Linked DNA regions of Elephas maximus indicus. The protein of the gene in region 1 purifies or fractionates together with the protein of each later gene. This does not show direct contact. Links are inferred from orthologs where the notes say so. Each region holds a gene or a part of one and is shown in the gene's direction. Other genes may lie near its edges. The genes, in order: MIOS, DEPDC5 and SESN2.

What was found.
Region 2: the proteins of MIOS (region 1) and DEPDC5 purify together in Homo sapiens (affinity purification with western blotting; 3 studies listed by BioGRID and IntAct, with this or other methods). This does not show direct contact. The link is inferred for Elephas maximus indicus from reciprocal best matches to the Homo sapiens genes MIOS and DEPDC5.
Region 3: the proteins of MIOS (region 1) and SESN2 purify together in Homo sapiens (affinity purification with western blotting; 5 studies listed by BioGRID and IntAct, with this or other methods). This does not show direct contact. The link is inferred for Elephas maximus indicus from reciprocal best matches to the Homo sapiens genes MIOS and SESN2.

The regions. Positions count from the first base shown.
Region 1 is NC_064826.1:68,300,327-68,307,604, forward strand, and holds the start of MIOS (GATOR complex protein MIOS), read left to right. Parts: upstream 1-4,236; 5' UTR 4,237-4,441; intron 4,442-5,358; 5' UTR 5,359-5,499; intron 5,500-7,278. UniProt on the Homo sapiens protein: As a component of the GATOR2 complex, functions as an activator of the amino acid-sensing branch of the mTORC1 signaling pathway. The GATOR2 complex indirectly activates mTORC1 through the inhibition of the GATOR1 subcomplex.
Region 2 is NC_064840.1:24,435,724-24,442,953, reverse strand, and holds the start of DEPDC5 (GATOR complex protein DEPDC5), read left to right. Parts: upstream 1-4,131; 5' UTR 4,132-4,274; intron 4,275-4,915; 5' UTR 4,916-4,972; coding exon 4,973-5,030; intron 5,031-7,230. UniProt on the Homo sapiens protein: As a component of the GATOR1 complex functions as an inhibitor of the amino acid-sensing branch of the mTORC1 pathway.
Region 3 is NC_064821.1:68,706,550-68,714,276, forward strand, and holds the start of SESN2 (sestrin-2), read left to right. Parts: upstream 1-4,654; 5' UTR 4,655-5,016; coding exon 5,017-5,103; intron 5,104-7,727. UniProt on the Homo sapiens protein: Functions as an intracellular leucine sensor that negatively regulates the mTORC1 signaling pathway through the GATOR complex. In absence of leucine, binds the GATOR subcomplex GATOR2 and prevents mTORC1 signaling.

The DNA.
Region 1 (7,278 bases):
TATCAATTGAGATGTTTCAACAAACAGATGCAGCACTGGAGGTGCTCACTCATCTATGCCAAGAAATATGGAAGACAGCCTCCTGGCTAACTGACTGGAAGAGATCCATATTTATGCCTATTCCCAAGAAAGGTGATCCAACCGAATGTGGAAATTACAGAACAATATCATTAATGTCACACGCAAGCAAAATTCTGCTGAAGATCATTCAAAAATGGCTGCAGCAGTATATCAACAGGGAACTGCCAGAAATTCAGGCTGGTTTCAGAAGAGGACGTGGAACCAAGGACATCATTGCTGATGTCAGATGGATCCTGGCTGAAAGCAGAGAATACCAGAAAGACGTTTACCTTTGTTTTATTGACTATTCAAAGGCATTCAACTGTGTGGATCATAACAAATTATGGATAACATTGCAAAGAATAGGAATTCCAGAACACTTAATTGTGCTCATGAGGAACCTTTACATAGGTCAAGAGGCAGTTATTCAGACAGAACAAGGGGATCCTGATTAGTTTAAAGTCAGGAAAGTTGTGTGTCAGGGTTGTATTCTTTCACCATACCTATTCAATCTGTATGCTGAGCAAATAATCCGAGAAGCTGGACTAGATGAAGAAGAATGGGGCATCAGGATTGGAGGAAGACTCATTAACAACCTGCATTATGCAGGTGACACAACCTTGCTTGCTGAAAGTGAAGAGGACTTGAAGCACTTACTAATGAAGATCAAAGACCACAGCCTTCCGTATGGATTACACCTCAACATAAAGAAAACAAAAATCCTTACAACTGGACCAATGAGCAACATCATGATAAATGGAGAAAAGACTGAAGTTGTCAAGGATTTCATTTTACTTGGATCCACAATCAACAGCCATGGAAGCAGCAGTCAAGAAATCAAAAGACGCATGGCATTGGGTAAATCTGCTGCAAAGGACGTCTTTAAGGTGTTGAAGAGCAAAGATGTCACCTTGAGGACTAAGGTGCACCTGACCCAAGCCATGGTATTTTCAGTTGTATCATATGCGTGTGAAAGCTGGACAATGAATAAGGACGACCGAAGAAGAGTTGATGCCTTTGAATTGTGGTGCTGGCGAGGAATATTGAATATACCATGGACTGCCAAAAGAATGAACAAATCTGTCTTAGAAGAAGTACAACAAGAATGCCCCTTAGGAATGACACATTGTGAAAAATGTAACCAATACCACTGAATAATTTCTGTAGAAATTGTTAAACAGGAACTTAATTTTCTGTGTGAACATTCACCCTAAACACAATAAAATATTATTTAAAAAAAAAAAAAAGAATGCTCCTTAGAAGCAAGGATGGTGAGACTGCATCTTACATACTTTGGACATGTTGTCACCAGGGATGAGTCCCTGGAGAAGGACATCATGCTTGGCAGAGTACAGGGTCAGTGGAAAAGAGGAAGACCTTCAACGAGGGGGATTGACGCAGTGGCTGCAACAATGAGCTCAAGCTTAACAACGATTGTAAGGTTGGCTCAGGACCGGACAGTGTTTCGTTCTGTTGTGCATAGGGTCACTATGAGTCAGAACTGACTCGACAGCACCTAACAACAACAACGTCAAACCTCGTGCAACTTAACAAACAGAACTATTTTAAAAAAGAACAGAGTTTACTTTTTCTCTCATTAATGGTCTGGTAGTTTGTGGTTGGTTCCAGGAGGAAGTGCCTCATCTCTCCCAAGTTAGCCTGGGACCTAGGCTGATGGAGCAACTTGGCCTTCCTCAATACATGGTTGCCATCTCCCTTTCTTGCCATTTTCCAGACAGCAAGAAGGGATAAGAGAAGAAGATAGTAAGCAGCTTTACTTTCAAGGGACGTGAGCCAGAAGCCCTAGTCAAATCTTACTGGTTACAACTTTTTGACATAGCCACACCTAGCTATGCGAAAGGGAGTCCGTAGAATGTAGTTTCTAACTAGGTCATCAGCGCTCTGCTAAAACTTGTGGATGGAGATATGTTCTACTACAAAAAAGTAAAGCAACGGAAAGGAGACTGGAGATACAGAGCAGATATTCGAGAAGGGGAAAACAGCTAGAGGCAAATAAAGAGATGAATATGTATGTGAAGTTGTGGTAAGTGCCAGGATGAAAAATAAGGCAGAGAAACAGAAAAGCTAATTTATATGTAGTCAGGGACAATTGAGCAGAGTATCAAATGAAGTGAGAATATGATTCATGCAGATTTCTGTTGTAAGAGCATTCCAGGCAGAGGAGCAGCCAGTGCAGAGGATCTGAGGCAAGAGCATGCTTTTCATGCTCAACTAACAGCAGAGTCATAGGGACAGAAAGAGAACTAGGGAGACTGGTGATATAGAATCAAATGAAGAAAGTATTTCAAGAGAGAGAAAGTGGTCACGTGTGAAAGCTGCAAAGGTGAAGCCATGGCCAGTGAAACTGGAGGTCATTGAAAGAGCAGTTTTGGTGGAGTGGTAGACATGAAAGCCTGAGTTGAGTGAGTTCAAGAGAGACAGGCGGGAGTGGGATTGGAGAGAGCCAATATGGAACTCTCCTTTGAGGACAAAATGGGAGTGACACGAACATGTTTATATGTTGAAAGTAAAGAGCCAATAAAAATGGAGATGTTAAGACATATGGAAGAGGAGAAAATCGATAGCACAAGTTCCTAAAGAGGGAAACAACATGGGTTCTTCCTCTTTCTCTGTGTCAGCTAGAAGTTAAGAATGGAAGTGAATGAAGATGTTACAGGAGAGAAAGAGGAAGCCGTAGGAGGCTGTGGGAATTCTACCTAGTAGTCTAAATTTTCTTTCTGAAGAAGGAGGCAAAGTCATCTCCTGAGCATGAGGGGGAAAGGTTTTGCTCAGCCACGTATGGTAGGAGTGAATAAGAAAGAGACTTGTATTGATTCGAGGTTTTGTGTAGTGGTTTTGAAGCAGGGCCAAAACCATTGAGAAGATTCACAAGATAGTGTTTGTTCCAAGTGATAAATCTTGTGGTATCTTCCCTCAGGAATTCAGCACTTTCTTTAGTCTCCATTTCTCCAGTGGCAGGAGTGATAAGGAGCCTCAGATTTCCACAAGTAACAATTTCCCCAAACTCATCTTCTCACCAAAACTGCTTGCCTTGAACATTATCAGGACTAAGCTATTATACTGTGTACAGCAATCACAACAAGCCTAAAATCACCCTTTTAAGCAAGAACAGACAAGCAAAAAGCGCCAGACATCTCAAGAAAGCCTCTGTGTCAGTCTTGTTTCATCTGTATTCACTCACTCAGTGACTGTGGCAGCACTCTCCACTCAAATTACCAGAGCTAGAAAGCTGGTCACCATCCTGGACTCCTCCTTCTTCCTCCCTCACTCAATCATCAAGTCAGTCATCATTCCACCTTCTAAATTCCTCAGAGTACCAACATCACTTCATCCCTGTTCTACATATCTCTGATGGTGTAGGCCATCAGTTGTCATTCAGATACTTAGCCTAACCCTCCCTCCTTCTCTCCACACAAAAAACGATCATATCACAGCACCTGGTTAAAAATCCTCAATGACTCAACTATTTCCTTTCGGAAAAAGTCCTTCCACCCTCACTAACCTAGTTTCCAGACATCTTCCTGATATATTTTAATTTCTCTCCACTTCCACTTCTCACTCTAACTTCCAGCCATACTCTGCTGCTTCCCCGTTCTCTCCAACTTTCTCTGCCCTGTTCTCTTTCTTGACTAACCCCATACTTGCTCTTCATGTCTCAGCCTAGCGGTTCTGAAGAAAGCTTTCTTGACCTCCAACACTGAAGGGCGCCCCTCCGGTGTAGCACTGTACCAGTTCTAACAAGGCACCGTGTCCATTTTGTTCACTCCAGTATTCCCAGCATTCCAGGATGGTGCATGGCACGTAACAGGGGCCTCAAGACGCGTTTGTGGAATGAATGAATAAGTGAATAAATGACGCACGAAGTACCTTTGATTTTTCTACTATATCGCCTGCAAAATATTTTTAATGAAAATCGAAATTAAGCAAATGAAGCAAAGTCTATGAACTTATTCTTAAAAACGGTAAAGCAGATCTGAGGTGCAGTCCAGCCAGATCTGAGTGCACGATTTCCCGCCCGAGGCTCCACGCGCGAGGCGGGGCCCGCAGGTGGGCGAGAGCTCGGGTGCAAGGGGCGTGGATTCTCAGGAAATGATCCCGCCCCAGGGCGGGGCAATCCCCGGTGCGGGGGAGGGGCGGGGCTCAAGGGGCGGGGCTCAAGGGCCGGGAACACCCTTTCTGAGGCCAAGGCGCAGGCTGCACGTCCCGGAGGCGCCGTGGTGGGGTCTTGGTGCCTGACGGGGTGGTGCAGATCACTGGTCGAGCCTCCGCAGCCGCCATCTTGCCCGCGTCGGGACTGCCACGGCGGGAGTGTCGGCGACCAGGCCGGAAGCAGCTGTGAGCGGCCGCGCTGCCACCTCAGGTCAGTGAGTGCGGTCCGGGCCGCGTCTCCGCTCCCCGGAAGGCAGGCGGGCGTCCAGGGCTTGCAGCGTCGGGGCCGCCGCAGGGGGTCTGGGAAAGCCCACTTAAGCGGTGTGGGCGGGGACAGGCTGGGAGCGGAGGCGCGAGGTGCCCGGCCTGCGTTCCACTCTGCTGGGCAACCGCGCTGGGCGGTCGGCTGGGCCTCGGCTAGAGCTCCGGGGCTGCGGGCGGCTCGAGGGTGCGTGGGGCTGGTCTCAGGAGCGCCAGGCTGCGCTGCGGACTCCGCCGCTGCGGGTTTGTGCGGAACCGCGTCCGGCCTTTGACGGGAGGCTCAGCTAGTTGTCCGAAGCGTGGGTGTCGCCCTCAGATTCCTGATTTACCCGGAATAGCAACAAGCCCTGTTCCAGTTGTACCCTGTTAAATACTTCTTAAAGGATCTTTCACCCGAACGTTTGTTTAGCTCTGTTCTCTTCAAATACTGGTGATTTAAAATTCTTGAAGAGGCTAAATGAAGCTGCTCATTTAAGCCATGGGCATTGCTAAATTGCTTAGCAAATGACTTATTTGCAGGCCTTTTGTATAACCATTTTAAGGAAAATTTGGATACATGCAGTGCATCTCCTAGAACATAGTGATGGTAGGAATTTCTTGAAACTGCTACGGTTGTAATTTGCTGTGGTAAGAAAAGTAGAAGACAGAAAAAAAAAAGGGGGGGGTGTGAAAGGGTGATTGGATAATCCGTGCACTTAGTATTGTAAAAATTCGCGGTAGCCTCTAGCACATGGGGCCGCTGAGCACTTGAAATGGGTATAGTCCAAATTGAGATGTCACACAGGATTCCTAAGACTCGGTACACAAACAAGAATGTTAAAATTAATTTCATCTATTTGTTTTTACTTTTTTTAATATGGCTATTAGAAAATTTGAGATTCTATGGCTCACACTGAATTTTTGTTGGACAGTGCTGTTATAGATGTTCTGCAGATGAACACAGAATCAACATGGCTTTCCTTTGCTCAGAAACTGTTGATAGGACATGAGCACTTGTTAAACTTGAAGGTGAGGAGACAAATATAAGCCCTAATCCAGTGGATGGCAATGGAGTGTTTTTTTTTTGTTTGTTTTTTAATTATTGCAAACCTCATTTCCTGTATACCCCCAATTTGTCAATGCCTCTAACATTTGAAAACATTAGATGCCAGGGCTGTTTCAGGGAATGGTAGTGATACTAACATCTGTGTGATGTGATGAACTTACTTTGTTTAATTTTCACAACTTTGTGAGATAGAGATAGTATAGGTTCTATTTTTGTTTTATGGTCTTGGTGTAATAAGGTGCTTGTTAGGGTCTAGCTAATGAGTGGCTCTACCACTCATCTGTCAGTTTGTCGTACTGTGGTGGCTTGTGTGTTACTGTGATGCTGGAAGTTATGCTACCAGTATTTCAAATACCAGCAAGGTCACCCATGGTGGACAGATTCAGCAGAGCTTCCAGACTAAGACAGACTGGGAAGAAAGACCAGGCATCTACAAAAAGAATTGGCCAGTGACAACCTTATCAGTAGCAGTGGAATGTTGTCAAGCGTAGTGCCAGGAGATGAACCCCTCAGGCTGAAAGGCACTGAAAATACTACTGGGGAAGAGCTACCTCCTCAAAGTACAGTCGACCTTCATGATGATGATGGAGTCAAGCTCTTGCGGCCTTTATTTGCCGATGTGGCATGACTCAAAATGAGAAGAAATAGCTGCAAACATCCATTAATTGCAACGTGGAATGTATGAAGTAGGAATCTAGGAAAATTAGAAGTTGTCAAAACTGAAATGAAACGCTTGAAGATAGATATTCTAGACATTAGTGAGTTGAAATGGGCTAGTATTGGCCGTTTTGAATTCGGGTAGTACTGGCCGGGAATGAAAATTTGAAGAGGAATGGTGTCACATTCATTGTCAAAAAGAACATTTCAAGATCTATCCTTGAAGCACCTATTATTCAAATTTGCGCACCAACCACTAATGCCAAAGTTGAAGAAATTGAAGATTTTTACCAACTTCTGCAGTCTGAAATTGATCAAACATGCAATCGAGATGCATTGGTAATTACTGGTGATTGGAATGTGAAAGTTGGAAACGAAGAAGGATTGGTAGTTGGAAAATACGGCCTTGGTGATAGAAACAACGAGTACATGATAGAATTTTGCAAGATCAGTGACTTCTTCATTGCAAATATCTTTTTTCAGCAACATAAACGGCGACTGTACACGTGGGCCTTGCCTTATGAAATACACAGGAATCAAATTAACTACATCTGTGTAAAGAGACAATGGAAAAGCTTTGTTATCATCAGTCCAGACAAGGCTAGGTGCTCACTGCAGAACAGGTTCAAGCTGAAGCTGAAGAAAATTAAAACAAGCCCACAAGAGTGAGCAACATATGACCTTGAGTACAGGCATACCCTGGAGATATTGCTGGTTTGATTGCAGACCACCACAGTAAAGCGAATATCACAATAAAGCAAATCACGAATTTTTTGGTTTCCTGGTGCATATAAAAGTTAGGTTTACGCTATAGTCTGTTAAGTGTGCAATGGCATTATGTTTAAAAAAACAATCTACATACCTTACTTAAAAAAACGTAATTTGCTAAAAAATGCTAACCATCATCTAAGCCTTTAGCAAGTCTTAATCTTTTGCTGGTAGAGGGTCTTACCTCAGTGTTGATGGCTGCTGAATGATCAGGGTAGTGGTTGCTGAAGGTTGGGGTGCCTGTAGCAGTTTCTTAAAATAGACAACAATGAAGTTTGCTGCATTGATTGACTCTTCCTTTCACAAAAGATTTCTCT
Region 2 (7,230 bases), on another chromosome or scaffold:
CTCAGCCAATAAACAAGAGACTGAGGTGGGAGAGTAGAAAAACACCTTTATTTTGTCGGGCAAGGAAAAGAACAGCCTGCCAAGACTGCTCTGTGAGGGCAAGAGGGAAGGCTGTTTTTAAGAGGTTTACGAGTAGGAAGTTCATACAAGTTACATCAACATTCTTAATCATACTACGCAGGTGCAACAGGGTTTACATATAACTTCATGCATCACGTGTTCAGAAAACTCCACCCAGAGGTGGGGAAGTTACTATGCATAGGTCTAAAAGGTTATCCTGAATATCAACATGGCTCCTAAACTGGTTTCTGCCAATTTCCTCTAGTTTTGAGCAGCAGTTAAGGAAAGGGGAACCAGGGTTTTAATGTAAAGCTTAAGGCCAAGCAAGCTGATTGAGGCAGTGGAATTTTTCGCACCTGGGGGCCTCTGTCTTATTATGAATAATGTACAGTTTTTATATAAACTAGGATTTTCTAATACAGATGCTATTGGACTGAATAAACTAGATATTCATTTTAAACCCATTCCTAAGTTTTCAGTATCCATATCTTCAAGTACTTTATCAGGCAACCGCGTGCCTAAAACAGAAGGTCTGAGAAACTTTTTTGTGTGAAATATGAGATTTTATACTCAAAAGGATTGAGAAGTAGTGGCTGAGTTTGAAGAGTCCTGGGCTGGAGGTAAGAAGACCTGGATTTATTTCAAATCAATTTCATTCCATGTTTAATGAGCATCTACTATGTGCAATGCACCACAGGCCCTGGCAGACAGCTTTGGTTTCCATGGGACTTACAGTCATGGCTGTTCCTTTTTTTTCTAATTGTGGTAAGATACGTAAGAAAAAATTTTGTTTTTTAACCATTTTTAAGTATACAATTCAGTGACATTACTTTTCACCATCTTGTGTAACCCTTACTGCTGCCTACTTTCAAAAAATTTTCACCCCTTAAACAGAAACTCAGTATCCCTTAAGCAATAACTCCACATTCCTCCCTCCCCTCAGTCCCTGGTAACCACTAATAAACTTTGGTCTCTATGCATTTGCCTATTCTAGATATTTAATATAAGTGGGATCATATATTTGTCCTTTTGTGTCTGACATTTCATTCAGCACAATGTTTTCAAGGTCAGCCATGTGATACATAGTATACAACTTCATGTCTCTTTATGGCTGAGTAATATTCCAACTTATGCATATACCACACACTTTGTTTATTCATACATCTGTTGATGGACATTTCAATTGTTTCCACCTTCTGGCTATTATGAATAGTGTTGCAGTGAAGATTGACGTGTCCATTTGCAATCCTGCTTTTAATTCTTTCAGGTACATACCTAGGATTGGGATTTCTGGGCCTACAGGAATTCTGTTAACTTTTTGCGGAACTGTTCAACTGTTTTCAATAGGAGCTATAATATTTTACATTCCTACCAGCAAGGCACAAGGGTTCCTATTTCTCTGCATCTTGAGGAACATTTGTTTCCCTTTTTTGTTTCTACTATCACAGCCATCCTAGCGGGGGTAAAGTGGTATCTTATTATGGTTTGACTTGCATTTCCTTAGTGACTAATGATGTTGACCATTTTTTCATGTGCTTGTTGGCCACTTGATTATCTTCTTTGGTGAAATGTCTATTCAGTTTCTTTGCCCATGTTTTGATTGAGTTGTTTGTTTTGTTGTTGTTGAGTTGTAGCAGTTCTTTATATATTCTGGATATTAGATCCTTATCAGATATATGATTAACAAATATTTTTTCCCAATCCATAGGTTTGTCCCTTTACTTTGTTTTTAAATTTCTTTGATGCACAAAAGTTTTTAATTTTAATGAAGTCCAATTTATTTCTTCTTCTGTTGTTTGTGCTTTTGGTGTCATAGCTGAGAATCCATTGCCCAAGCAATGTCCTGAAGCATTATCCCTATGTTTTCTTCTAACAGTTATTTGGTTTTGTTTCTTATATTTAGGCCCTTGACCCATTTTGAGTTGATTTTCATGTATGCTGTGAGGCATGGGTCTAACTTCATTCTTTGATTCTGGAAATCCCATTGTCCCAACACCATTTGTTGAACAGACTATTCTTTTCCTATTGAATGGAGTTGGCACCCTTGTCAAAAGTCAGTTGGCCAAAGATGTTTGGGCTTATTTCTGGGCTCTCAATTCTACTCCTATTCTTTGTTAAAAATAATAAAAACTCACTGGAATTTGAACATAAGGTTTATTCTGGGCAGTTATTCTATACACATGTAGGGAGGCCATTTTGAGTCCCTAAAAAGCAAATGGCTGAAGAAGCCAGGTACAATGGGGCTTATAAAGAAGAGGGAGAAATATAGAAGTTTAGTCATTGGGTAATTTTAACCTGATCGATTGAGCACTGCCTTCCCCCTTTGCTGAGATCAACTGTTACCAGTTTACTTCTGGCCTGGCTGGTAGTAATTTGGCCCTCAACCCACTCACAGCCATGAGGTTTTTTAAGATTTAAATTAGGAGGCCATGATTTGACAACTATCCTTTTCTAGCAACCCACCAAACCAATCCCACTGCCGTCGAGTCGATTCCTATTCATAGCGGCCCTGTAGGACATAGTAGAACTGCCCCATAGAGTTTCCAAGGAGTGTCTAGCGGATTTGAACTGCCGACCTCTTGGTTAGCAGCCGTAGCTCTCCTTTTCTAGGAAGATAAGCAAATTTACATTGCTAGAGAGCAAATTCTGGCAGGCTTTTGCAGTTTTGGTTAGGTTTTTTATGGTTAATATTTCATTTTGTGGATAAGAAAAACCTTGAAATCAAAGAAAGATGTCTGTCAGGTGAGGGCACTCTAAAATGAGGTGTTTGGCATGTGTAGGAATGACTGATTTAGGTCTGAATCAAAGCTCCATTTTTCGAACCAAATTTTAGTTTTTTCTAAGTCCTCATTTCTGACTTCTTAAGAATATCCACTGCTATTTTGTCACTTCTGACTCATAGAGACCCCCAAAGGGTTTCCAAGGCTATCTTTACAAAAGTAGACTGCCACATCTTTCTCCTGCAGAGCCGCTGGTGGTTTTCAGCTGCTGACCAGTCGAGTCCTTTAACCACTGGACAACTAGGCCTCCTTTTCTTAAGAATATTTTATATACAGCCTGTGTCTTAGTTATCTAGTGCTGCTATAACAATACCACAAGTGGATGGTTCATGAGCTTCCCCATTGAAAAATAAACCCTCAAGTTCCTCTGTGGTATGCGATGCTTGTGTGTGGGTTTTTTTTCTTTCAATATTTCTGCTTCTACACTTTTCAAAATCAAGAGATTTCCTGAAAACCATAGGTCAATTAGGTGCTTCTGGCAACTTGTCAGGAGCCCTTGGCAAGAGTCAGGCACAGCCTACCCAGCTTTGAGTTTCTCCCTGAAGAATGATGTCCCAGCCGTCATTAGACCGAGTGTGTGATACGAAGATGCTAGTTAATACTCAGCCGGTCTTACTAGAGTCAGGATCCACTCATGCTTCCTTCCTAGGAATTCTGTCTCCACAGCCTCAGTTCCCCACCTGTGAAATAATGATAGTATCTTTTTGAACCACCTATTAGAGATATGCTGATTACATAAAAATGTATGTCAAAACTATGGTCGCTGAAACGTCATTTGGGATTTGGAAGGTTTTGTAAAGCCCCCCCCCAAGTGGAAACGTCCCAGCAGGTGCCATCACGCTACGTCACATGGGATTAGTCCTCTGCATTTTACCAAAGTCCTCTCAGGAACACTTTTTGGGCTTCGCAGTAGCCCTGACGGTGGTCAATTTCGTTTATAGACCAGGAAGCTGAAGCTCAGCGAGATCTCGGGAGGCTCGCCCGAGTCTCCCCAGCTGGGGATCATAAAGTCTGAAACGCAGCACCAGACCACGGTTCCCTTCGGAAACGTCTGGAAAGTAAAGGATTTCCTACCGGGCGGCGAGCAGCTGCTCCGCAAGCGCGAAACGAGCGGCGGCGACTCGAGCGGCACGCAACGCCCCGCCCCCCCGCGAGCCCCGGATGAGGAAGTGGCGCGGTCATCGAGACGAAGCGGAGGCCGGGCCGGAGCGGCCCGGGACTGGTGGGCGGGAAGGGGGCCGGGCCCCGGGGCGGAGCCACCGGGGCGGCGCGGGTTCTCAGGTGAGCGCTCCGCGGTCCGTGCAGGCCAGCCGGCGCCTCGGGCTCGGGGGAGGAAGCAGAGCGGGCGGTGGGGTCGTGGGGTCGTGGGCCCGGCGCCCCGAGGAGGCGCGCGGGATCCGGTGATTGTCTGGCCCGCGAGGCCCCGGAGCCACGGTGAGTGGAAGCCACCCCGGGAGCGGGCTCGGGGTCGTGCGGGAGGGGGTTGCAGCCGGGGTTCGAGTCGGCCCCTCTTGGAGCCTTGGCGACCTTTGCCGTGACATGTGGGAGTGGGGGGCAGTGGGGAGGCAGGCGTGTCCGCTAAGCCTTTATACAAATGGAGGTTCGGAGAACGAACCCCTGCCAGCCTCCTTCACAGTCGCCTTGCCCAGGACATTGACGGCGAAACGTTTAACAGTGGACGTGCCTCTTAGTCTCTGAGTGACCTTGGGCGAGTCCCTTGCCCATTCTGGCCCTCACTTTCCTCATCCACAGAACATCTGAATATTTTTAATATTCAGATGCTCTCGGTTTAGATGGAGACAAGATCCACTCACTGCAAGTCTTCTCTTTAGGTGTGTGTTAGAATGTCATCTTGGAGGTTGGGCTAGACACTGGCCCGAATTCCTCTTAGTTCCCAGATTCTGGGGTCCTGTTTGTTCTGGTATTTGTTCTCCATCCCTCCTTGTAATTGGAGGAGTGATTTTATCCAGGGGTTGGTGCTGCCTCTCAGCTGAATATTTCCACTGGACCCACATCAGAGCAGTTGCAAGGAAAAATTTGACATTCCAGCCTTTTTGTTTGTGTATCAATGGCAGGGAGGCAAGATGACTTCTCTCCCCCTGGATTGGAACAGCTGAAGGAAACAATACAAGATGAGAACAACGAAAGTCTACAAACTTGTCATCCACAAGAAGGGCTTTGGGGGCAGTGGTCAGTATTGATCTTTGTGAGTTGTGTAAATTGCCTGGGATTCTGGTGTGTCTGTTGCTTTGAAAACTACACACTGACTCGTGACAATTGGGGCTACATAGGCAACTTAACTGAGGGAAGCAGCAAGCATATTACAGTGATGGGAAGGGCAGTCAGACTAGAGAACACAGGTCCTTTCTGAAAGCATTCACATTCGGACTTTGAAGAAACCATTCATTCATTTAATTGTTTTGTTTACTACATATTCACCATATATATTTTGTAAAATTTCAGTCCAGTACTGGTGTGAAAGATAACAGAAAATAAAGTGGCATTTATTTTCACATTTAGTGAGAGAGAAGTAGTGTAGGTGTGCACAAGACAGAGTTGATCACAGTGTGAACTACTGCCTGGCTCCCAAGCATGGTGAGAAGGGGCAGGATGCAGCATGTTGTCCTGCACGAAACTGTGAGTTGGGAAAACCAGCATCTGAGGGCCAGTCCTGACTCTAACTTTTCCTGTCACCCTGGGCAAGCCAAGCCCCTCATTTGTCTTAGCTGCAAACTCAGGGGCTTTGGAGTAGTTTCTGTATTTCTCTTAGCACTGGGAGTCTATGAATCCGCACGATAGGAAGGTACATAGTACCGAACCAAAACCAAACCCATTGCTATTGGGCCGATTCCAACTCATAGTGACCCTGTTGGACATGATAAAACTTCTCCATAGGGTTTCCAAGGCTGTAATCTTTATGTAAGCAAACTGGCACATCTTTCTCCCGTGGAGTGGCTGGTGGGTTCAAACTGCCGACCGTTTGATTAGCAGCCAAGCACTTCACCACTGTACCACCAAAGCTCCTTAGGGACTTGGTAATATGGTGTAGCTTTAACTTTTCCTTGTGTCTTACAATCTTCTTTGCTTCAGAAATGGGAATTACCAACACGATATGGTAGCTTCTATATCATAGGGTGTTGTGAGGATTAAGTAAGGTGATTCACGTAAAGTGTTTTGCAGAGTGCAGGGCTCGTCCTTAATAAATGTAGCTGTTGTAATTACTGGGACAAAGATATATCAGTGTTGCTATATTTAAAACCCAATTTCTGCTAAAATGTAGTCTGTCGTCAACACTATACTTTGTATGTTGTTGATGCTGCCTAAACATCTGTGGAGTAGAATTGAAGAGATGGCAGAAATAATTCTTGGCAGAGGGACAGATACAAAGTTACAGTATATACAGTGTCACTGTACAGTTCATATTTCATGTTTACAAGACAAATGTAGCTGGGTGCTATACCCAGTCTTTTGCGGGACTGGACTATAAAGAAAATAAAAATACAACTAACTTATATGTTAGGTTTATACCTGTGCCAAACATAAAATGAATACAAGGTCCCTTGTCCCTAAGGAACTCTGAACTTGATGAAAGAGACAGACATGCAATAAGGAAATGATAAAATGAAGCAGAATGAAATATGTGCTTAGGGAGCTTAATTCAGACTATGGAGGTTAGGGGAAGGCGTCACAGAAGATTTGGGATAAAACCATCAATGGAAACAATATACCAAATAAAATTTGGAATTTACCCATTGCTTTGCTTTACAAGACTGAATTTTTGTTGGGTATTCATTTTATGAGCCCTTTTTTTTGGTGGCACAGTGGTTAAGCGCTTGGCTGCTAACCAAAAAATCAGTGGTTTGAACCTACTAGCCACTCTGCAGGAGGAGGATATGGCCATCTGCTTCCATAAAGATTACAGCCTTGGAAACCCTATGGGCTGTCCTCCTCTGTCCTGTAGTGTGGCTATGAGTTGGAATTGACTTGACAGCAACACGTTTTTATCTTTTTTATTGGTTATGTTAAGGTCCCTGAGTGGTGGGGAAACCCTGATGGTGTAGTGGTTAAGTGCCACAGCTGCTAACCAAAAGGTCAGCAGTTTGAATCCACCAGGCACTCCTTGGAAACTATGGGGCAGTTCTGCTGTGTCCTATAGGGTCACTGTGAGTTGGCATCAACTTGATGGCAATGGGTTGGGTCCTTTTTTTTTCTGAGGTGGGGAAAATGGTTTGTGCTGGACTGCTAATGTAAAGGTTGGTGGTTCAGATCCACCCAGTGGTACCACAAAAGAAAGGCCTGGTGATCTGCTTCTGTAAAGATTACAGTCAAGGAAACTCTATAGAGTAGTTCTACTCTGTAACACATGGGGTCGCCATAAGTTGAAATTGAC
Region 3 (7,727 bases), on another chromosome or scaffold:
CCTGACTCCACGCCCAGCTTTTTTTTTTTTTTTTTTGGAGCGAAACGAAGTCTGGAGGGTAGAGCGAGGTGGGACAAGATGGTGGCAAGGGCTAGGGGCATTGTTCCAGGGACAGGACTCAGATCAGCTTTCTGGGGACATATAGGTCCTCTAAGAATGGAAAGGAGGTGGGAAAGAGAGGGGAATACACTAGAGCAAAGACAGAAGTTGTTCTTTCTGGAAATGTGAGGCTCCTAGGACAGCCTATTATAGTGCAAGTAGCCCTGGACTAGAGGCCTGGACCCCAGGGTTCTAGTCTCTGCTCTGTGGCCATCTTGCTCGGTGACCCTGGGCAAATTCTTTTCTCTCTGTGCCTCAGGTTTCCAGTCTGTAAGACAAAGAAACAAATGGGAAGTGCATCCAGGCTATAAAGTCTCCTGGGAGTCTGGTCCCTCTGGGCAGCAGGGGAATGCTCTGCAACCACGCTGTCTTTATTTAGCTGTCACCTAGCCGTTTTCCAGGACTTCCCGGCGGTGACATGGAACCTCACAATCCTGTAAACTCAAAACTGGGGTGACCCTCAAGCCACCCCTTTTACAAGCCTGTTCGGGCTCAGCTGTAGCAGAGTCCGGCCTGCAGGGGGCGCCGAGGGCTCCCTCACCCGACAAAACAAGCTGGTCAGTTTTCATATTGTATTTATTACGAAGGGAGAGTTTTTTCAAACTTGAAGTTTTTGTCCTTAGTATTCAGCCGAGGAAACAGAATTATATGCATTGCCCAACACCAGTACTCTCCACAGTGGCTCTTGAGGGTTAGAGCTAATTTCAATTCCTTTTGTTTTGCAAACAAGGAAACATCCTAAAAGCTGAAAAAATTCACCTTGGGTCACACAGCTAAAAACTAGCACCTGAGTTTCCTGATTCCTGGGCCATACTCTTTCTGTTCCACTTACCCAGGAGGTAGCTGGCTTCTTCTCCAAGGGTCTGTGGAGCCTGCCCCCTAATTCGCAGCTCCAGGAGACAATTCCAATTGTGATTCTGAAGCTTGACAGTTCTGGACCTGTCAGCTAGGTGAGTGAAGGACCTCCCTCAGCACGTAGCACCATGCCTGCTTAATGAGTAATTAAAAAGAATGAATCTGTGAATAAACCATGGAGGGTGGGTCTCCCTTGGCTTTATCAAACCAGACGGGATTTGGCTTCTTACCTGAAAGCTCCCCCAGGGCCAGAATTGTGTTCTGAGATGAGAGTGGAAATGGGGAGAAACAAGAACAATATGAAGAACCAAAAAAAATGACATCTGGGGTGATAAATCACTGCCCCAGGAATAGTCAAGATACAAGGTCATTATAGTAAAATGACCCCAGAATATGTGATTGGAAAATTAATCCAGGAAGAATGAAAATAGAACACATGAGGACTACCATTAGAGTCATAATCTGAGAGGGGTCCGAGACTGAGGAAATCTCAGAAATACTTCAAGCCAAATCTAGATGTCACTTCAGGACTGGAATATGATTGAGGAATAAAAAAGCTTTGGCCAATCAGTGTCCTCAACACAGCTGGTGCAAGAGAGTATGGCAACAGGAGGGAGGAGATCTTTACAGAACTCAAAACTCGAGGAGAGTGAAACAAAAAGTGTGGAGGAGAGGGAATGTGTCCAGCCTGTGTCACCAGGCCACACCTCACGGGGCTGGATGCTTCACTACTGAATTTCCAGAGCCCAGCACAGTGCCTGGTATACACTAACCAGTTGCCATTGAGTCAGTTCCAACTCATGGCGACCTCATATGTGTCGGTGTAGAACTGTGCCCCACAGGGTGTTCGATGTGCTGATTTTTTGGATGTTGCCAGGCCTTTCTTCCAAGGCACCTCTGGGTAGACTCAAACCACTAACCTTTCAATTAGCAGCCAAGCATGTTAACTGTTTGCACCACTCACGGACTCCTGGTGTACATTAGATGGTCAATAAAACTTACTGAATTGAAAGAGGGAGGGAAGCAGCCAGGGCCCTAACCAGCAGGTTTGCCCTGAGTAGAGCCAGTTCAATGATTCACCTTTTCCTTGGTTCCTTTTGCTCAGATTCCAGCTGTCCTAGTCACCTTCAGATGATAACTTGGCTTTTCATGGAGACTTTCTCACAAGAAGGGATGTGCCGGCCCACCAAGTATAAGCCACCTGACAGTAGTGTTTTTTGCTCTCAATTAATATATTAGAATTCTGCTTTAAGCATCAGTTTCTTATACCAGCCTGCTCCTTACATGTTCACTTCCATCTTTCATTAGTGACACAGTGGTGTTTTTTGCTTTGGAGTCATTCCTGCCTGGGTTTGATTCCTTGCTCGGCCTATTATGAGCTATCTGACCTTGGTCAACACACTTCTTGAGTCTCAGTTTCCTTATATGTCAAATAGGAGCATACTGCCAACCTCAGAAAGTTGTGGTAAGAGTTACATGAGACAACGGATGTATCCTGGACCAATGTCAGTGTCCCTGCCTCTTCCAATCTTTCCTTCCTTGGAGACTGGGTCACAAAAGAGCATCCACTTTAGAATATCAGTATCTCTGCTTTTCCTTTTCACAAAATTACTAACTTTGTAAGTGAAACCATGGGAATGATTTAGTCACATCCTTGAAGATTCTGAAGGGTTATTCTACAGAGGAAAGTAATTAAAACTCATTACTTCAAAATATTTACTGAGGATCCACTGCATGCTGTTAGGGAATACAGAGACAATTAGACAATTTCTGCCTTAAAGGAGCTCTGGCACAGCCTGGTGCAGTCAAAAGAAGATCTCTTGTGATGTTGGACAAGCAATTTTACCTGTTTGAGCTTGCTCCCTAACTTTGTAAAAGTAATTGATAACATATTCCATTGTTATCTGGAGGGAGAAGGTAAACATACAGACATGATAGCAAAGCTGTATCCAGTTTAGAAACCAGAAGTATAATAAGGTAGAAACAATGTGTTGTAGGAGTTGAGTAAGAGAGATTACTTTTAGCTGGGCCGAAAAAGCAACACCTGGAGGAGGAAGTGGTAGCTGGAAACCTTCATTCAGACCACGAAGAACTGAAGGCATTGAATTCTGGATTGGGTTTCAATGGGCAGAGATTTGCAGAGAGAACTACTGGAAGAAAAGCTTGAAGGTCAAACAAGGACATGGGTGTGGCAAGTAGAACTGGAAAGGTAAGTTGAGGCAGGTCTTGGTAGGCCTTGAATGTCAGTCTAGGGGTTTGACCTTTATTCTGTAGTTGATGAAATACCATTAAAGCTTTTTGATCTGAAGATTGACATTACAGAGTAAATTTTTTCAATGAACGTTCAATCTGACATAAGGTGGTTTAGAGGAGAATTCCATTCAAAGGAAAATTCAGTTACCAAGGGTGTATTATTGGCAGGACATTGTGCTAGGAGGAATAGGGCAGGAGACAAAGATGTCAAGGAACTCAAAAGGGTCAGATGAGACCTATACACAGAAAATTACCATACAGGGTAGAGTATGGTAAGTGTTATAATAGAGACCCAGCCCAAGTGCCTTGGGAACTCGACAGAAGGTGAAATTAATTTCCATCTCCCAAAAGGCTGGAGGCAGGAGACCAAGTCAGAGGCTCATCTTTGGAATCATAATCCTAGACTCAATATCAGAGAAGACCCCTGCTCTGCCAGGATCCATGTCCAGGGTAGACAATGCCTTTAAAATTGAAACAAAAAGTGGAACTCAAGAAAATCTGTGAAGGCTCTGAGTGAAGAGGATGGGGGAGGAATTCAGCTTTGAGGTGTTGGTGGGGTGACTTCCTTGCCAAAAGCCAGGAAGTGGATGAGATCAGGGAGTGAGAGTGTGCCTGGAGAGAGGAATAAAAACAGAAACTTGGGGAACACCCACTTTCAGGGGGTGGGGGGAGAAAGAGGAGTCAGAGGAGAGGCCAGAGAGAGGGGAGAAGAGACCCAGCACAACACCTTGTCACAGTTTCAAGTAGGTGGCTGGCAAGAATGGAAAACAGGACCTGAGGTCCCAGGGAAGCAGAGGGAGGAAACTGCGGCAATAGGGATTGAGGTTAGACATAGGTTGCCAATGGCATTTCAATGAATGAAGGCTTTTTCCAGAGACTCCCCAAATAGGGTGGTTTCCCTATTCGTGGTACATTTGAAAGTTGAGTCCTCCCGGAGCCTAGGGGGAATAGGGCTCTGCCCTCTGACTTCCGAAGATCTGATGTTCAGCTCTACTATTGTAGTTGTTGTTAGGTGTTCTCAAGTAGTAGAAATACTCTACTATTAGCACCATTGAACAAAGTGGGCCAAAACCTCTCCTAACTCTAACCAGTCTCTCCAGGAGCGAGAAAGTTGAAGGATGCACTTGGGAGGGATTTCACACTTGGCTCTCAGGTCCAGCCTGGTGAAGTCCCGTTTCATCATACAGTCCTAATGACTCTCCGGGCCGTCACTCTCGTCTGGTATTGCCTGCGCTCTGACAAAACCCTGTTGCAAAAGTTTGCAGCATTCGTTTGGGCCAGACTACAGCTCCCAGAGTTCCCGGGCGCTTCCCGGTGCCGATTGGCTGAGTAGTCGGCCCTAGAGGGAGGTGTCGCCCCGCCTACCCGGGAAACAAGCATCTGATTGGCTGTGGCGCGGGGCTTTTGTGTCCCCGCCCTCCCCCGGGGACCGCAGCGGGCTGAGTGTCAGAGCCGAGGGAGCGCTGGCAGTTCCGCGGCGGGGATGCTGAGGAGCGCAGAGTCCGCGAGCAGCCCTGGCCATTGCGGACTTCCGAGGCGCCCCGGGCCGTGAAAACCCCCGCGCTGCGACCAGTCGTCGGAGCCCGAAGCCATTTACCGTTCCAGAAACCGGGCTGGAGGAGAATCCAGTGCAGCAGCTGCCGTTCTCGGATTCTGGGCTTTCGGAGCGTTCTGGAGCCCCGAGAGGCACCTCAGGGTTCTAGAACCTCCCGTGCTGCCCGGGGTCCCGGCTTCCTACGTGCGTCCGACCAAACTCCCGCTCCGGTGCACCGGTCGTCTGCGAGCAGAGGCTCGATCTTGGCGCATACCATGATCGTTGCGGACTCCGAGCGCCGCGCGGAGCTCAAGGGCTACCTGCCGTTCACCCGGGGCGGCGGCGGCGCTGGAGCCGGAGAGGTAAGCAGAGGCCGAGCGACGCCACTCTTCTCTTGAAGCCCGAACCGCGTCCAAGCCTCGGGCTGTCCCGAGATAAGTCCGTGCGCCCCGCGAGCTCGGGGAAGCGGGGCGAAGCGCGTAACCCAGGAGCAGGGTTGCATCAACTGGCAGCCTTGGCCCTCGCCCCCCTCCCCCCGGGGCTGCGCAGCCCTCCCAGCTCCCTCGGACCCCTGGCCAATGAGAAGGGAGCCTTCCCGAGGTTCTCTAGTGTCTGGTCTCTTGTCGAGAGCGTCTTCAAGTCCAGGCAAATCCCGTCCCGAGCGGCCCGACCGCTCCTCCCCGCCCCCTTCCGTAGATTCCCTTCCTCTTGGCGGGGGCAGGCGGGCAGGGGACTCTTTCTAGGATACGTCCCCGCTCCGATCCCCCAGCGCCGGCAGTCGGGCACCTAGGGCTGGCCGGCGAAGGCCGACCTGGTCCCCCTCCCTGCACCCTCGCTCCTCCTGCACCCCCTGTTTTGGAGAGGGCTGCGGTCTGCTAGCGAGAGGGGGCGGGGCCGCGGGCGCTCCGGGGGCTTGGCTGGCTGCCCGGCCGGTGGTGGCCGCGGCCAGAGATGGCAGGAGAGGGGCTTGGGGTGGGGGGAACCCAGGCTGCGCTCCCAAAGCCTAGCGCAGATTAGGCAGTGCCCTTCTGAGTGGTCTGATGGCCCTGAAGTTTGTTTTGTACCCCGGAAAGGCATTGCGGTGAGGCCAGGAATAAGGTTGGGCCTAATCTGACTGACATTCACCGACAAGCGATAATGGACCTACTAGATGCCAGGCCTGCTTTTTCTCTAAATCCTCAGGACTAAACCAGCAAAATGCGAGCTATACTATAGCCCCATTTTACAGATGAGAAAATTGAAGCCCAGGAGGGGCTTAGGGAGAGATTCCCTTCTCTAACCTCACCCAGGGAGCTCATTCTTTGGCCTGAGTGTCCCTAGGATTTCAGAGTGTGCTTGGCACTTCAGAGAGTTTTGCTTGTTTCTTTTCTTTCCAGGCAGCTTGAAGCAGGTGTATTCCTGGGGATGGGAGTCAGAATAGTGATAGTCCTGAGCTGTGTGACAGGGAAAATCTCTGCCCTTCTCTGAGCAACATGGTTTCTGGGGCTCCTAGCTTCAGTGGTAGAGGGATTGTGTCCTGGATTTCTGTTAGTTTGAGTTTAATCCCCCCTCCCCCACCGTGGTTTAAGGAGCCCTGCTGACACAGTGTTAAGAGCTCTGCTGCTAACCAAAAGGTTGAAAAGGTTGGTGGTTCAACCCACCAGCCACTCAGGGAGGAAGATGTGGCAGTCTGTTTCAGTAAAGACTTACAGCCTTGGGAACTGTATGAGACAGTTCTATTCTGTCCTATAGGGTCTCTATAAGGACAGAGAGAGGCGAGTCTCAGATCATCTCAATGGCAACAGGTTTGGTTTTTCTGTTTGGACCATAGTTAGGAGCTACATGGGGAGGAATGGCCCCCACTCTTGTTCCTTCTCAGCCATGTGACTTTGACCAAGTCATTTTACTCTCTGAGTCTGTTTCTTTCTTTGTAAAAAAAACAGAAATGTTATTACTGAGAGCACTTGGGCACTGGAGCCAGAGTTAGCTGGGTTCATGTGCCAGCCCTCCCACTCACTCACTGTGTGACCTTGGCCAAGTGATCACCTTCTCTGGTCCACACCTTCTTCACATGGGGATTTGATAGTATCCCTGAATGACAATCGGGAGAATTAACTGAGAATACAAGCAAAAGACCAAAGCACAATGCCTGGAACATAGTAACTGCATCTGACATGCTAACTGTTGTGAGAATGTGGCCATGACATACATTTCCCATTACTCAGTGTCTCACAGGGGGATGCCTGAGCTTACCCTCCTGTCTGAGATGAGAGTAGTGTGCATCCCTCTCTGGGACAGTGCCTGAGAAGTGGTCAGAGGAGAATGGAATGGCTCAGGTGGCTGGGGCAGGCTGTGAGGGAGTGGCATTTAGATGTCAGCAGTGGGGAAAGCTGGTGGTGTCTGGTAGAAAAGAGGACCTTGTGAAGGAGCTGTGTGCTTAAGCAGGAACCCTCAGAAGACAGTGGGGTGCTCCTGATCTTACAGAGCATGGTACCCAAGGCCCCACTGAAGACCCAGATGTGCAGCCCCCTCAGCACTCTGGTGAGTTCACAACATGCCCTTTGAGTGGGTGAAGGCCTTGAGATAGATGTATCTCCAGTAAGTTCTGAGAGCTTCACTCTAGTGCTGGTAGTATGCTTTCAGAGTCTTATTGGGCTGTTAAATTACTTCTTCAAATATCACTTCCTTGGGGAGGCCTTTCCTCCCCCATCAGATAAGTCCCTTGTGCATACCGACTTCAGTCCCCCTTCCGCTGCCTAGGAGCTTTTGTCCCAATTGTAGTGAAACCGTTGTATAATTTAATTAGGTACTTCTTTTCTGTTTCTCTTGCTGGACTAGAAGCACCCAAAGGATACATCCTGCAGATCTCATCCCCTGCCCTCCACTGTTCTTAGCACCTAATAAATGCTCATAACTATTTGCCTCATAATAGCTTAGCTGGCACTTACGAACTGTGCAGGCTTTGAAGTCAGATCTGAGCTTGTGCCTGTCTGGGACAGGACCTTTC